3 linked regions of the Ovis aries genome follow. The protein of the gene in region 1 interacts with the protein of each later gene in a pairwise test. Links are inferred from orthologs where the notes say so. Each region holds a gene or a part of one and is shown in the gene's direction. Other genes may lie near its edges.

The links.
Region 2: the proteins of USP25 (region 1) and TNKS2 interact in a two-hybrid assay, tested with the Homo sapiens proteins (2 studies listed by BioGRID and IntAct). The link is inferred for Ovis aries from reciprocal best matches to the Homo sapiens genes USP25 and TNKS2.
Region 3: the proteins of USP25 (region 1) and RAD23B interact in binary tests that used the Homo sapiens proteins (3 or more experiments, as listed by UniProt). The link is inferred for Ovis aries from reciprocal best matches to the Homo sapiens genes USP25 and RAD23B.

The regions. Positions count from the first base shown.
Region 1 is NC_056054.1:142,138,229-142,142,543, reverse strand, and holds the start of USP25 (ubiquitin carboxyl-terminal hydrolase 25), read left to right. Parts: upstream 1-1,383; 5' UTR 1,384-1,735; coding exon 1,736-1,780; intron 1,781-1,987; exon of another isoform or gene 1,988-2,226; intron 2,227-4,315. UniProt on the Homo sapiens protein: Deubiquitinating enzyme that hydrolyzes ubiquitin moieties conjugated to substrates and thus, functions in various biological processes including inflammation and immune response.
Region 2 is NC_056075.1:13,175,538-13,179,176, forward strand, and holds part of TNKS2 (poly [ADP-ribose] polymerase tankyrase-2), read left to right. Parts: intron 1-1,190; coding exon 1,191-1,362; intron 1,363-3,394; coding exon 3,395-3,474; intron 3,475-3,639. UniProt on the Homo sapiens protein: Poly-ADP-ribosyltransferase involved in various processes such as Wnt signaling pathway, telomere length and vesicle trafficking.
Region 3 is NC_056055.1:15,850,802-15,855,054, reverse strand, and holds the start of RAD23B (UV excision repair protein RAD23 homolog B), read left to right. Parts: upstream 1-1,378; 5' UTR 1,379-1,407; coding exon of another isoform or gene 1,408-1,581; 5' UTR 1,582-1,681; coding exon of another isoform or gene 1,682-1,733; coding exon 1,734-1,799; intron 1,800-4,253. Other genes in the region: uncharacterized protein LOC121818810, read right to left, coding at 997-1,304, 1,408-1,581, 1,682-1,735. UniProt on the Homo sapiens protein: Multiubiquitin chain receptor involved in modulation of proteasomal degradation. Binds to polyubiquitin chains.

The DNA.
Region 1 (4,315 bases):
ACTCCTGAGAGTCCCTTGGACTGCAAGGAGATCCAACCAGTCCATCCTAAAGGAGATCAGCCCTGGGTGTTCACTGGAAGGACTGATGTTAAGCTGAAACTCCAAAACTTTGGCCAGCTGATGCAAACAGCTGACTCCTTTGAAAAGACCCTGATGTTGGGAAAGATTGAAGGCAGGAGAAGGGGAGGACAGAGGATGAGATGGTTGGATGACATCACCGATCAATGGACATGAGTTTGAGTAACTTTAGGAGTTGGTGATGGACAGGGAAGCCTGATGTGCTGCAGTTCGTGGGGTTACAGAGTCGGACACGACAGAATGACTGAATTAAACTGAACTGAACCACGGATTATTCCTTCTCTCGCAGCACACTGCATCTTCACATCCTATTTGTGTCCCACCCCCAGATTAGCTTGTGAAATTCAAGATATTTTTGAGGTTATAGACTGCTTTCTCAAAATTAGGTTTTCCTTACTATTCCATATATAATCAAGTATTTCAAGAAGGGTGGTTAATTGATAATTGTTTTGCAACTGGGGTATCCTGTACCATCTAGGCAGTGATATTTTTGTAACACTGTCTGTTGAATAGACCGTATTTCATTTACGTCAAACCTTAGGAAAATAAACTTTTATTTCCTAAGAGCCTGCCAGTGACTGGCACATGTTTGAAAAGACGAAGTTGACAGAGACTATCAATATTAACTTATGTAATGATTAGTTGCAGAGAAAAGTACATTCCAGCGAAAGGCCTTCTGACAGCCTTTTGCTTAAATCACAATTGACTTTTCTCTTCGGGCAAGTTTACTGCTTGTGAAATTCCTAGAAAGGGCTGGGGAGAGGACTCAGAAAGACCAAGGATTCGGGATCCAAAGCGGTTTGGGAACGTTCAGGGACCTAGAGGAAAATGTTTCTCTTAGAGGGATATGGAAATCTGACAAATTCTGGGCATGAAGAGGCACGATGCCCTCCGGCCTTGGCTTGAAGCGTCGCGGAGCCGCGGGTAGGCGTCGCGCAACCTGCCGCAGGGGCGGCTCCGAGGCCGGGCCCGCGTGGCGCTCGTTCGCCCCACCCCGCGGGACTCCAGGACGGGGGGCGGGGCTCCGGAGCGGCCCCGCCTCCCGTCACACCGACCCGCGGGTCACAATGTAGGGTTAGGGCGGCCTGTGGGCGGGGCTCGGCGGGGGAGGAGCCGCCAGGCGGGGGCGGTGACGGCGGTAGAGGGAAGGGAGGGGAGGGGAGGGGAGGGGGCGGTAGAGGGAGGGGAGGGGAGGGGACAGGAGAGGAGGGAGGGGAGGGGAGGGGAGGGGAGGAGGAGTTGCGGTGGGAGGAGGACAGCGCCATTCTGGCCGGCCGCTCCCTCTGTCCCCTTTCCCTTCCCCGCAGTGGCCCGCGAGCCGCCAGCGGAGGAGCGCGCGCGCGCGCGTGACGCGTCCGGGCTTGCTAGCGCCCTCCCGCCCCCCAGCGTCCACCGCCCGCTCATGGCCCGGGCCGCGGCCGCCGAGCCGCGCTGAGGCGGGCCGCGCGGAGTCGTGGGGCCGCCGCCGTGGCCCTCGGTGTCCGCGCCGCGCCGCCAGCCCGTGGTGCCCGCGCACGCCGGCCGTCGTCGCCTTCGCGCCTGGCTGGCGGGGGCGCTGTCCTCGCCGGCCGTCCGCGCCGCTCCCTGGGGCTCGGCGGAGCGTGGCAGTCAGGGCCAGCGGAGGCTCGGGGAGCCGGACGCCGGCGCGGCGGGGGCCATGACCGTGGAGCAGAACGTGCTGCAGCAGAGCGCGGCGCAGAAGGTGAGGAGACCCGGCCCCGCTCCTCCGCCCGAGGTGCCGCCCTCCCCCGCCGCGGCCGGGACCTCCCCGCCGCCCGGGCCTCCGCGGCCCCAGCTTTCCCCGCGCCGCCGTCTCCCGCCCCTGCCCGCTTTGGGGGCGTCGCTCCCAGTTCCGGGCTGCGTGTGGAAAGCGGGGTGTAGTTAGCGGGTTTCAGTCCACTTCCTTCTTGCCAATTGTTTTCCTGTAACCGACGGTGATGGGTGTTTGTTGAGCGCGACCTTACATTCCTACACTCCTCTGTATGACTTCCTAATTAAACTTTATCTTCCTCGTCTTTTTTTTTTTTTTTTTTTAAGAAAAAGAAATAGCCGGTTGTCATCCCTTGTGAACCCAGTTTTCTTTCCAAGACAGGAGCCTTCCAGATCTGCTATTTTGCAAAAGAGTCTCCACCGCAATTGAATTGCCAGGTACAGGAACCAGGTGGACTCAATGTAAAAGTAGAGGATTTGGTTGGTTCCTTTTTCTTTTTGTTTTTTTTTTTTCCTTTTTTTTAAAAATATAGAAACTGTCCCTTAAGAAGAGACCTTTTCGGCCATGCTTATTTCAGGTATATTTTGTCCCCTAAGTTTGACCTTGTTCCATCCTCACCCTTTACTCTTGCCTGGGTCACACATTAAAGAGGTTGTTCCCTTAAAAAAAAAAATCTGGGTTTGTGAAGCTTCAAATCTTTTCCGTTAAGTATAGTTAAGTGAGAGATGCTACTTTTCCCCCTTCGATTTTGCTTTCGGAATCTGAAGTGCACTCTCACGGGTTGCACCATATCCTGGAGAGTCGTTGGCTATGGCTTAATTTTTGGGGAGGGGGTTATTGGTGTGAAAAACATTTTGGGCAAAAGGAAAACCATTACTTTACTCGTCTTGAAATTATGGTGGTGACCACGGTTTACTGTGAAAAGCTGGTAGAACTATTCGATTTTTCTGGGAGAGTAGTGTGAATGCCCCACCCTGTGGTGTTGATAATCAGTAGTTTTCTTGGCATCATTGTATCCTACCTGTGCTTGATTTTAAAATAAGGCCTACTGTCGTAAAATGGACTATGTATACTCACAGCGTGCTAAGTTTTTGCTTTGAGATATTTTTAGAATTTTATGGTAGTACTTGAAGTAATTGAAGATGCTCAAGAATTTTGGAAAGCGAGCATACTGCATTGTTATTTTAGGCACTTTGGGGAAGTTTTCTTGGAACTCTTGTGTGTTAGTTAATTGTTATTGGTTAATTTGGGCATCCCAGGTGGCTCGGTGATAAAGAATCTGTCTGCAATGCAGAAGACTCTGGTTCGATCCCTGGGTTGGGAAGATCCTTTGGAGAAGGAAATGGCAACCCACTCCAGTATCTTTGCCTGGGAACTCGCATGGACAGAGGGGCCTGAGGGGGTTTCTGGTGTGGCATGGGGCCATGGGGTGGCAAAGAGTAGGACGCCACTTAGCAACTAAAGAGTGACTGGGTTGATTGAGAAGATGTTGCAGACTGCGGTTTATTTGCAGTGAAATAATTCTAGTTTTAATAATGGGAGCTTAGAACAGTTTATCTCCTAATCCCCTTCATTCTGTTTTGAATACTTTGAACTTTAGTTTTTGATGTTGAGTATGTGACAAAGTGTTAATACTTAGAGGAGGATCTTGTGGCCATAGTATACTGAGCAATATTTAGTAGGCTTGGTGTCCTTCCGGTTTATAGTTCTCTTCAATGTTAAGTGTTAAAGCCTATTTTTTTTTTTCAAAGTGGGAAATGTAGCTCATGGTTTTCACATGTCAGATTTGAACAATGGCAAAAAAATTTGTGAGTTTTTAAAATTGATTTTTGACTAATGTACTTAGATAATGCAGATCTGCCCATTTCAGAGGTTTATGCATAAATTTGAATCAAGAATAAATTACTAAAAGTGATCTTAGCCATCAAGTCCAGTTTCTTAGTTTAATGAGTCCCCTCCTTATGCAAAGGGAGTAGTTGTTAGTCTAAAATACTACCATTTTGACACTGTTTTTACTATGTGTCATATCATCTCGTTGAGATTGTGGACATTTTTTAGAGCAATACAGTCGCATTTATTTTTATACTTCTATTATGGTGTTTATGTATTAAAGAAACATTTAATGTGTTTGCTTGCCATATGAATATGCTGTTCTTTGTTACTCATGTTAGTACTATTTTCAAATATTCATACAGGTTCAAATACTTTAAACCATCTACTTCAAATGAACTGACATTAAAATCCACCAAGGTAGTAACTAGGAAGTAGACTTCAAGCTAGTAACTAGGAAGTGAACTACTTTAGAAGAATCAAAAGTGAAACTCTTTGTTTTTAAAATGGAAACTATGAATTATTAGTAAAATGAGAAGTGTCTAGTGCATACTGCATAACCAAAATTTCAGCCTATTTTCTGCTCTTCTGTAAAAACTTGTTGTATGCTCACGTGTAATATCAGCTTTATGTCTGTTCATTGGAACAGTTTCTTATTTTGTGAGATTGTTTTTTTTTTCTTCCCAAAGGATGTAT
Region 2 (3,639 bases), on another chromosome or scaffold:
CATAATTACTGAGTAATTTTATTTTTCAGTTATGTTCTGAAGAATTATTTTCCAGGGTGGCAGGGGAGGGAGTTGGTGGGTTGGGAATGAGATAGAAGGTGATCTTTTTATTATTACTATGAAAATTTTCAAAAATACAGCCAAGTTGAGAGAGTTTTACAGAGTATAACTATATACTTGCTATATAAATTCTACCACTAGCTTTTTACCATATTGTTTCCTTACATATCCATCAATTTTTCCCTCTTATCAGTATCTTATATTTTTTGACACACTTCAAAGTAATTTGCAAGTTACTATATACATCTCCCTAAATTCTGTTAATAGGCATCAACTAGAGGTCAATATTTGTTCACCGTTTTTCTCTGGATGTGAATTTACGTGCAATGAAATGTACAGCTCTTAAATGTACATTTACTGAATTTTGCCTAATGCAAACACCTGTGTAACCAAACCTCTTGAAGATAGAGAGCATAACCACATGGCAGAGACAGTGTCCCATCCAAGGCAGTCTCCTTGCCTAGAGGCAACAGCCGTTTGGATTTTTTCTACAGTAGATTAATTTACCACTTTGGACCTTCATGTCCATGAGATTGTACAATATTCATTGACTCTTTTGTGTCAAACGTTTTTTCACTCAGGTTAATGTTTAGGTGATTCAGCAGTAACAATAATTCTTTTTATTGCTGAGAAGTATTCCATTGTGTGAATATACTGTAGTGTCTTTGTCTTTGTACAGATTGTATGTTAAATGATAAACAAGATAGAAGATTAAGCCAATAGAATAAGTATTTTAATGCTAATTTAGTGTCTGACTTTGTTATCTGTTATCTCGGGGTTAGTCTCCACATTTCTGCACCTTAGTGATCCTTAAAAATATATGCATTAGACTTCCTAGGCAATGTCTGTAAATGTGATGAATCTATGAATGCTTCAATGCTAAACACAACTATTATTCAACATCTTAAACTTTTAATCCAAAATTGGGTCTCCTGATGTCAGCCGTCATGAATTGGTGAATTTGTACTCTAAATTTGAGAGAAAATACTTTCTTTGTCACTGGATAATAGTCTTTATAAGAGAATACTTGGGCATTTTTAAGTTAGTAACAAGTGTTGAACCTGAACCCATAATTAGAGCATTTAAAATTTTGTACCACAGGCTAATTTCCGTTTTTTCTGATTGTTAAGGTTAATGCTCTGGATAATCTCGGTCAGACTTCTCTGCACAGAGCTGCACATTGTGGTCATCTGCAGACTTGCCGCTTACTCCTGAGCTATGGGTGTGATCCTAACATCATATCCCTTCAGGGCTTTACTGCCTTACAGATGGGAAATGAAAATGTGCAGCAACTTCTTCAAGGTATTGAATACTTCAGTGAAATTATTTTTTCAGTTAACTTTTAAATTTTTTCATATATCATGTAGGAGTTGGTAGTAAAAAGAAAAATTTTCAAAATTATTGGCTGCTATTTCTTCTTGATCAGCTCGTTGTAGTCAGTGCCTCCATGTTGTTAAGTCTTTTTCCCAGTAGTGTTTGCTACTGATCTTTGCTGAGTAAATAGCTGGCTCTTAAGTTTTTATCTAGAAAGGTTTTAAGAGTGAGATGCAATAGTTGCTATTTCTTTTTAAAGAGAGGGAAACTGAAGAGGGTAGCTATCTCCTAGTAGAGCAACCAGAGCTATAAATAATACGCTTAGAGGCCAGTCCTGCCTGTTCACTCCTCTAGATCCTTTACATAAGGCATATAGAATCTGTACACAGTAACCAACTATTTGACTTATGTTTGAATACACTGATATTCATTTTAAATTCAAATCAACTTATATTCAATATCTACACATTTGGCATAGGTTAAACATTTCAGCCTAGAATTCTGGTCCCTTCCAATTAAAGATAAATAAAAGAAATATGGTCCCATAATTTCAAAGTGTCTTTGCCTACATCTCTGTATTTTACTAGACATTAATAAAACCTCTTTGACACCTCAGAGCTCAAATGAGAAGAAATGTAACAGACCAAGTGTTTTGTACCTTTAATAGTCCCCCTTGATGATCCTTATGCCTGTGGTTTAGAAGCCCCATTTTGAGAAAACACTGCTTGAATAGATAAAGGCAGATTAATAAGATCTCCTGGGAACTTCTAAAATTCTGAACTACAAGACTGCTCTCAGAATTGCCTTTACTTTCCCATCTACCATGCGTGTGTTTCAGTGTCAGAGTTGAGGGTAATAGCATTAGTTCTGTTCAGTTACCTGGTGATGGACATTTACAGTCTTGCTTTTATGCTACATGCTATACATTACCTTTCCAGTGAGTTTCTTAAAGTGGAATTTCTGAGTCAAGGTTAACATAATTGTTAAATCATCTCCTAGAAAGGCTGTTATGTACCATTTTACATTCCTATTAATAGTTTATGACAGGACCTGTTTTCCTTGTCAGCCCCAGATATTATGATTCTTTATAATTTCCTTGGGTGAGTGTGTGTGAGTGATTGTGTGTATGTTTGTATTACAGAAGTAATAGGTGCTTTTTTAAAATGCAAATTATAGAAGTATTGACAGTGTAACTCTTTCATTTGCTCTTTGTCCACTAATGGATGAAAGAAAAGCCTAGTATATCATTTTAATTTGCATTTCCAACGTGTATGCTGCAATATTTTTTCCAATTTTGTTTTTTGCCTATAATTTTGTTTAGTTTTATTTTGTTGTCTGACAGATATTTTTCCAAATCAGTTTTGGTTCTGCCTTTGATGTACTTGCTTTAGGATGCTTTTCTATTTCAAGATAAATATTCACCTATTTTTTAAAATATTTTTAAGTTTTAATTTTTCATATGTAGCATCTTTAACCCATCTGAAGTTTATTTGTTCTAAGATACAAGGTATATGTTTTCTTCCTTTCTTTTGAGATTTAAAATGAGCTATAAAACAGAGTTTCAGACCTGAAAATAACTTCACTTGTTTCTAATCCAATGTCTTTTGTCTTTTTAGAACTGGAACAATCTGAGGCCCAGAAAGTTCAAATGACTTGTTCCAATTCAGATAGCTAGTCAATGGCAGAACCATGGGGAGATGTCTAGCTGTTGCTCTCCTTATTTAATACTTTACCACCAGTCACTGACTTCGTTATAGAGTAATCTTCTGTTACCTATTTTATATTCCATTATGTTGCCTAAATCTCATTTTATAGTTATTATTCATATACATTTCACATATGTGATGTTTCCAAAAAAATTTATACTGCTTTTCCCGTACTACTATGGAGATTTCCTACATAATTGCCATCAAACTGTGAAAGGAACTTTACTCTGAAATAAGATGCCTCCCTTAAAACTTGGTCCCATCTTCCAAATAGAAGTTAATCACTCTTTCCTTCTCTTTTTTTTTAATTTTAGAGGGTATCCCATTAGGTAATTCAGAAGCAGACAGACAGTTGCTGGAAGCTGCAAAGGCTGGAGATGTAGAAACTGTAAAAGTAAGACATGATCTTATGGTTTTTCTAAACATTGGGTTTTTATTTTGACAGTGTTTAATGAATCCATACTGTTAAAATGAAAAAATCTAGTTATTTGTTCTGTTAAAATAAAAAAATCTAGTTATTTATATGTGCATTGTTTTAAAAGGTAAATAATGGTAATTC
Region 3 (4,253 bases), on another chromosome or scaffold:
TATCTGAAATGGGCATACTACAAATAGCTATCTACTTATGGGCTGCTAACTCTGTGCGTTCCTGGTACAAAGGTTTTACATACATTATTCAACACTCCCCTCCAATAATCAATGAAATTGAGTGCTATTACTATTCCCATTTTACTGATGAGAAACCGAGCGCACATTCATGGATTCCAAAAATATTTACTGTGCCTGCATTACACGCCAGGCATGTTTCTTCGTGCTAGGGGTGCATCACCCAACACAAAATCTCTGTGCAGCTTGCCTGTGATTTACTGAAGGGAGAAAGATGATAAACCCAATAAATATGTATTAATGGGACGACAGAGGATGAGATGGTTGGATGGCATCACCGACCCGATAGACTTGAGTTTGAGTAAGCTCCGGGAGTTGGTGATGGACAGGGAAGCCTGGCGTGCTGCAGTCCATGGGGTCGCAGAGAGTCGGACACGACTGAGCGACTGAACTGAAGTGCTATAGAAAACACAGCAGGGTAAGGGAACTAGGGAAGTTGCTGTTTTAAGTCGGGTATCCAGAGTCGATCTCCCTGAGAAGGCGACATCCGAGCAAAGATTGGAAGGAAGTGAGAAGTCGAGCCACCCAGGTATAGAGGAAAAGTGGACTCGAAGCGGAAACAGCAAGGGTGAAGGTAGACTCTCAGGTTGAGAGCATTTGCTGAACATCCACCAACAACGTCTAGTGCAAGCCGAGAGAATAAGATGTAAGAGGTAGGGGCTGTGTACCCAGCTCTAGGAACTTTGACTTTTACTCATGAGATGAGGTGCCATTGGACAGATCTGCCTGGGGAAGTGATATAACTTGATCTTATATTTAGGCGCAAGGTCCACTAACATCGTCTAGCGCTTAAGTCAGTGTTCTCAGGGTAAATGAATCCCAGCACAAGGCTTCAGCCACACAGCAAGCGCCCTGCAAGCGCTGGCCCTCTACGCTGGTTGCCCGCAACCCTTTCACTTAAACCTCGCCCCGACCTACCGCCCTCTAGTTCCCCAGTTCCAAGGCTCGCCAGCCACTCTGTCCTGTCTCCACGTAGCGCTTCCCCGGCTACGGATTGCGCAACTCAGGCAACCGGGCGGAGTCTGCACGTAGGCGGAGCGACAGCGGGCGGGAGAAGGCCCCAGAAACAGACGCGACGAGGAAGCCCGGAGCGCCCCCACGAGACGCCCACTGACTGCGCCTGCGCACGCGCCATCCCGGCGGCCGACATTCCAGAGCGGCAATCCGCCCCGCCCCAATTCCGGGGCGGAGTTCTTGCCTGCGCCTGCGCACAGCCTCGCCGCACCCTACGCCTGCGCGCTCCGCCGTCCCGGCCCCATCCCCCCCAGGTTTTTAGGGTGGTGGGGGGAGGGCGCGTCTCGGCGAGTCACGATGATGGCGGCCACCAGCCTGTGGTGAGCTAGCGGATTCTCTGCTGCTCTCGCAGAGCCCCTCGCGCTTCTTACAGACCCAGTGGCTGGTAACCGGGCGCGTGAGGAAGCACGGCGGCCCGAGCTCGCGAGGAAGGCCGCAGTCGCGGAGGCAGCGGCGCGGCCGGGAGCCAGGGCTGGGGGAGAGGCCGCTCTGCAGGGCGAATGTGACAAGCCCCCACCCCCACCGCCTTCCTCCCGAGTGCGCGAGGAGCGCGGGCGACCCCGGGGCCCCGCCAGGCCACAGACCCCGCCCAGCGGCCAGCACCCGGAGCAGGCCCGGCAGCCGAGCTGCGCGACGGCACCATGCTGGTCACCCTGAAGACCCTCCAGCAGCAGACCTTCAAGATCGACATCGACCCCGACGAGACGGTGAGTGCGGCGGGGCGCGCTGGGCCCGGCACGGAGCGGGGGCGGTCCGCGCGAGGGGCCGGGAGGGCCTGGGCTGGGGGTGGCGCGGCGGGACCGCGTGCGGGGCCCCGACCTCAGCTTCGAGCGCAGCCTGAGCGGGTAGAGCCGCGGTGCACCCGAGAGGGCATGGCGAGCGGGGGGTCTAGGGACCCGGGCGCTTATGAGGCCTGCGGGTTCCAGGCGCGGGTAGGGCCAGGGACCCGGCAGCGTGCGGCCCACTGGACCTTCAGGGTGGGCTGTGGGCTTTGTGGCAGGAGTGCGGGGAAGCAGTGGTCGGACACCGAAGCCCGAGTGGCATATGGCGTGAAGCACGCGTTAGCGGGGCACCGGAGGCCTCGGCCTGGGCGCTCTCGGTGGAGGGGCCAGAGGGGGAGGGGAGGTCAGGGTGGCCTGGGCGGTCGAGCTGCGCTCCGGGGTGTGGGTGCACAGGTTAGGGAGGGAGAGGTAGGCGTCGCCACTATCCCTGCGTGGACCTGGTTAGGCGCTGAGGTCTTGGAGGTGGTAACTGGAGATAATGAGCCTTAAATAAAATGGTATCAGGTTCCGTCAGCCGCAGAGTGTGAGTGCGAGGGGTGGTGAAAATGCCTTTTTTGCCCTCTTCCCCGCAGAATTGGTGACCATTTTATTTGCATAAATCTTGAATCGTTTCGCAGCAGTTCTCCCGCCACCCAGCCCACACCCATACGTAGATTGCACTTCGAGGCCTTTTTGGTGGTGAAGGTTGTTGCATTAGAGCCCTTCCAATAAATCCAGGCGCAAACTTAACTCCAGATTAGCAAGTTCCCTGTGTTAGAAGCCTTGAAATTGTAGGATCGGAAGTCTGCACCCAACCCCCAAATAATAGCCTTTCAGAGGAGAAATAAAGAAAATAAAAACTCTGACTCTCTTCTGTAAACTCTTGAACGACTCTTAACTTCACCTGTTAAATTCTCATGTCATCCTCTGTATTTGTGACTGCAAAAAGCCACTGTGTTGAAATCAGTACAACTTTATGCCAAGATCTAAAAATTGCCATTCAGTGTAAACTTACTTCTTGTGTTCTGGAAGTGTGAGTCTGTACACCTTTGAGGTTGTCACAGTGCTGTATTTACAGTAGCAACTTTCTGCCCGTCTGTATTTTTCAAAATAATTGATTCAGTTTTGGTGGATGTCGGGGATCTTCAGTTCAGTCGCTTAGTCGTTTCCTACTCTTTGCGACCCTGTGGACCGCAGCATGCCAGGCCTCCCTGTCCAGAGCTTACTTATTTAAACTCATGTCCGTTGAGTCGGTGATGCCATCCAACCATCTCATCCTCTGTTTTCCCCTTCTCCTCCTGCCTTCAATCTTTCCCAGCATCAGGGTCTTTTCCAGTGAGTCATTTCTTCACTTCAGGTGGCCAAGCATTGGAGTTTGAGCTTCAGCATCAGTCCATCCACTGATATTCAGGACTGATTTCCTTTAGGATGGACTGGTTGGATCTCCTTGCAGTCCAAGGGACTCTAAAGAATCTTCTCCAACACCACACTTCAAAAGCATCAATTCTTCTGGGCTCAGCTTTCTTTATAGTCCAACTCTCACATCCATACAGGACTACTTGGTGTTGGTTAATTAAATAAACCTGAGCTCCCATTTTCGGCTCTAACTTAATTTGCTATGTACCTGTTTTACAAAGATGTGAAGATTAAATAGTATTTAATTGGTGGTCAGTAAATGGAATCCATTATTAATCAATGGGTACCTTTGAGTGAGGAAGTTTTCTACATCTTGAATTTTCATTTTAAAAATGTAGTTCCCAAGCTTTTTGAAATTGTGGCAGAAAATGGTTTTAGTTCAAGGCACTTAATTATATGTGTAAATATGCTACATGATAAATTCTTAAAAGGTGCAAGAGATACCAAGCTTCAATGAGAAATTCAGTGCCCTCAAAATTGACAACACCTGTGGATTGCTATTACTGAATAGTACTGCTTATTTTGTACTTATAAGTTAAAGGATGGAAGTGAAAATGCAGCTGTGTAATGTTTTCAGCCAAAATTTTCCATAAAATAGCTATTGACTTTAGTTTTTTGTAATGTTGGTGCTGCAGGAACTTAACCAACTGGTATTCACAATTAGTTCCAGAATTATTGAAACCTGAAGGTTTGGGGTTTGTGTGTGTGTGTGTTTTATATTTCTGGGTTTATTGAAGATATGCAGTGACTTTCTACAGCTCCACTGAAATATTTATGTTCTACTAGATTTGTGTTGCTCTTTAGGCATTTTACGCATTCATTATCTTAGAGCCAGTATTGTGTTTGTATAGATAATTAGCTATGTTACTATTTGTGTTTGTATAGATAATTAGCTATGTTGCTATTTTCCAGTTTATTTATATGAATTATAAACATATACTTCTGGAGGTAGATTTTCAGAAAGCTTACAGAGTTGCTGCTTCA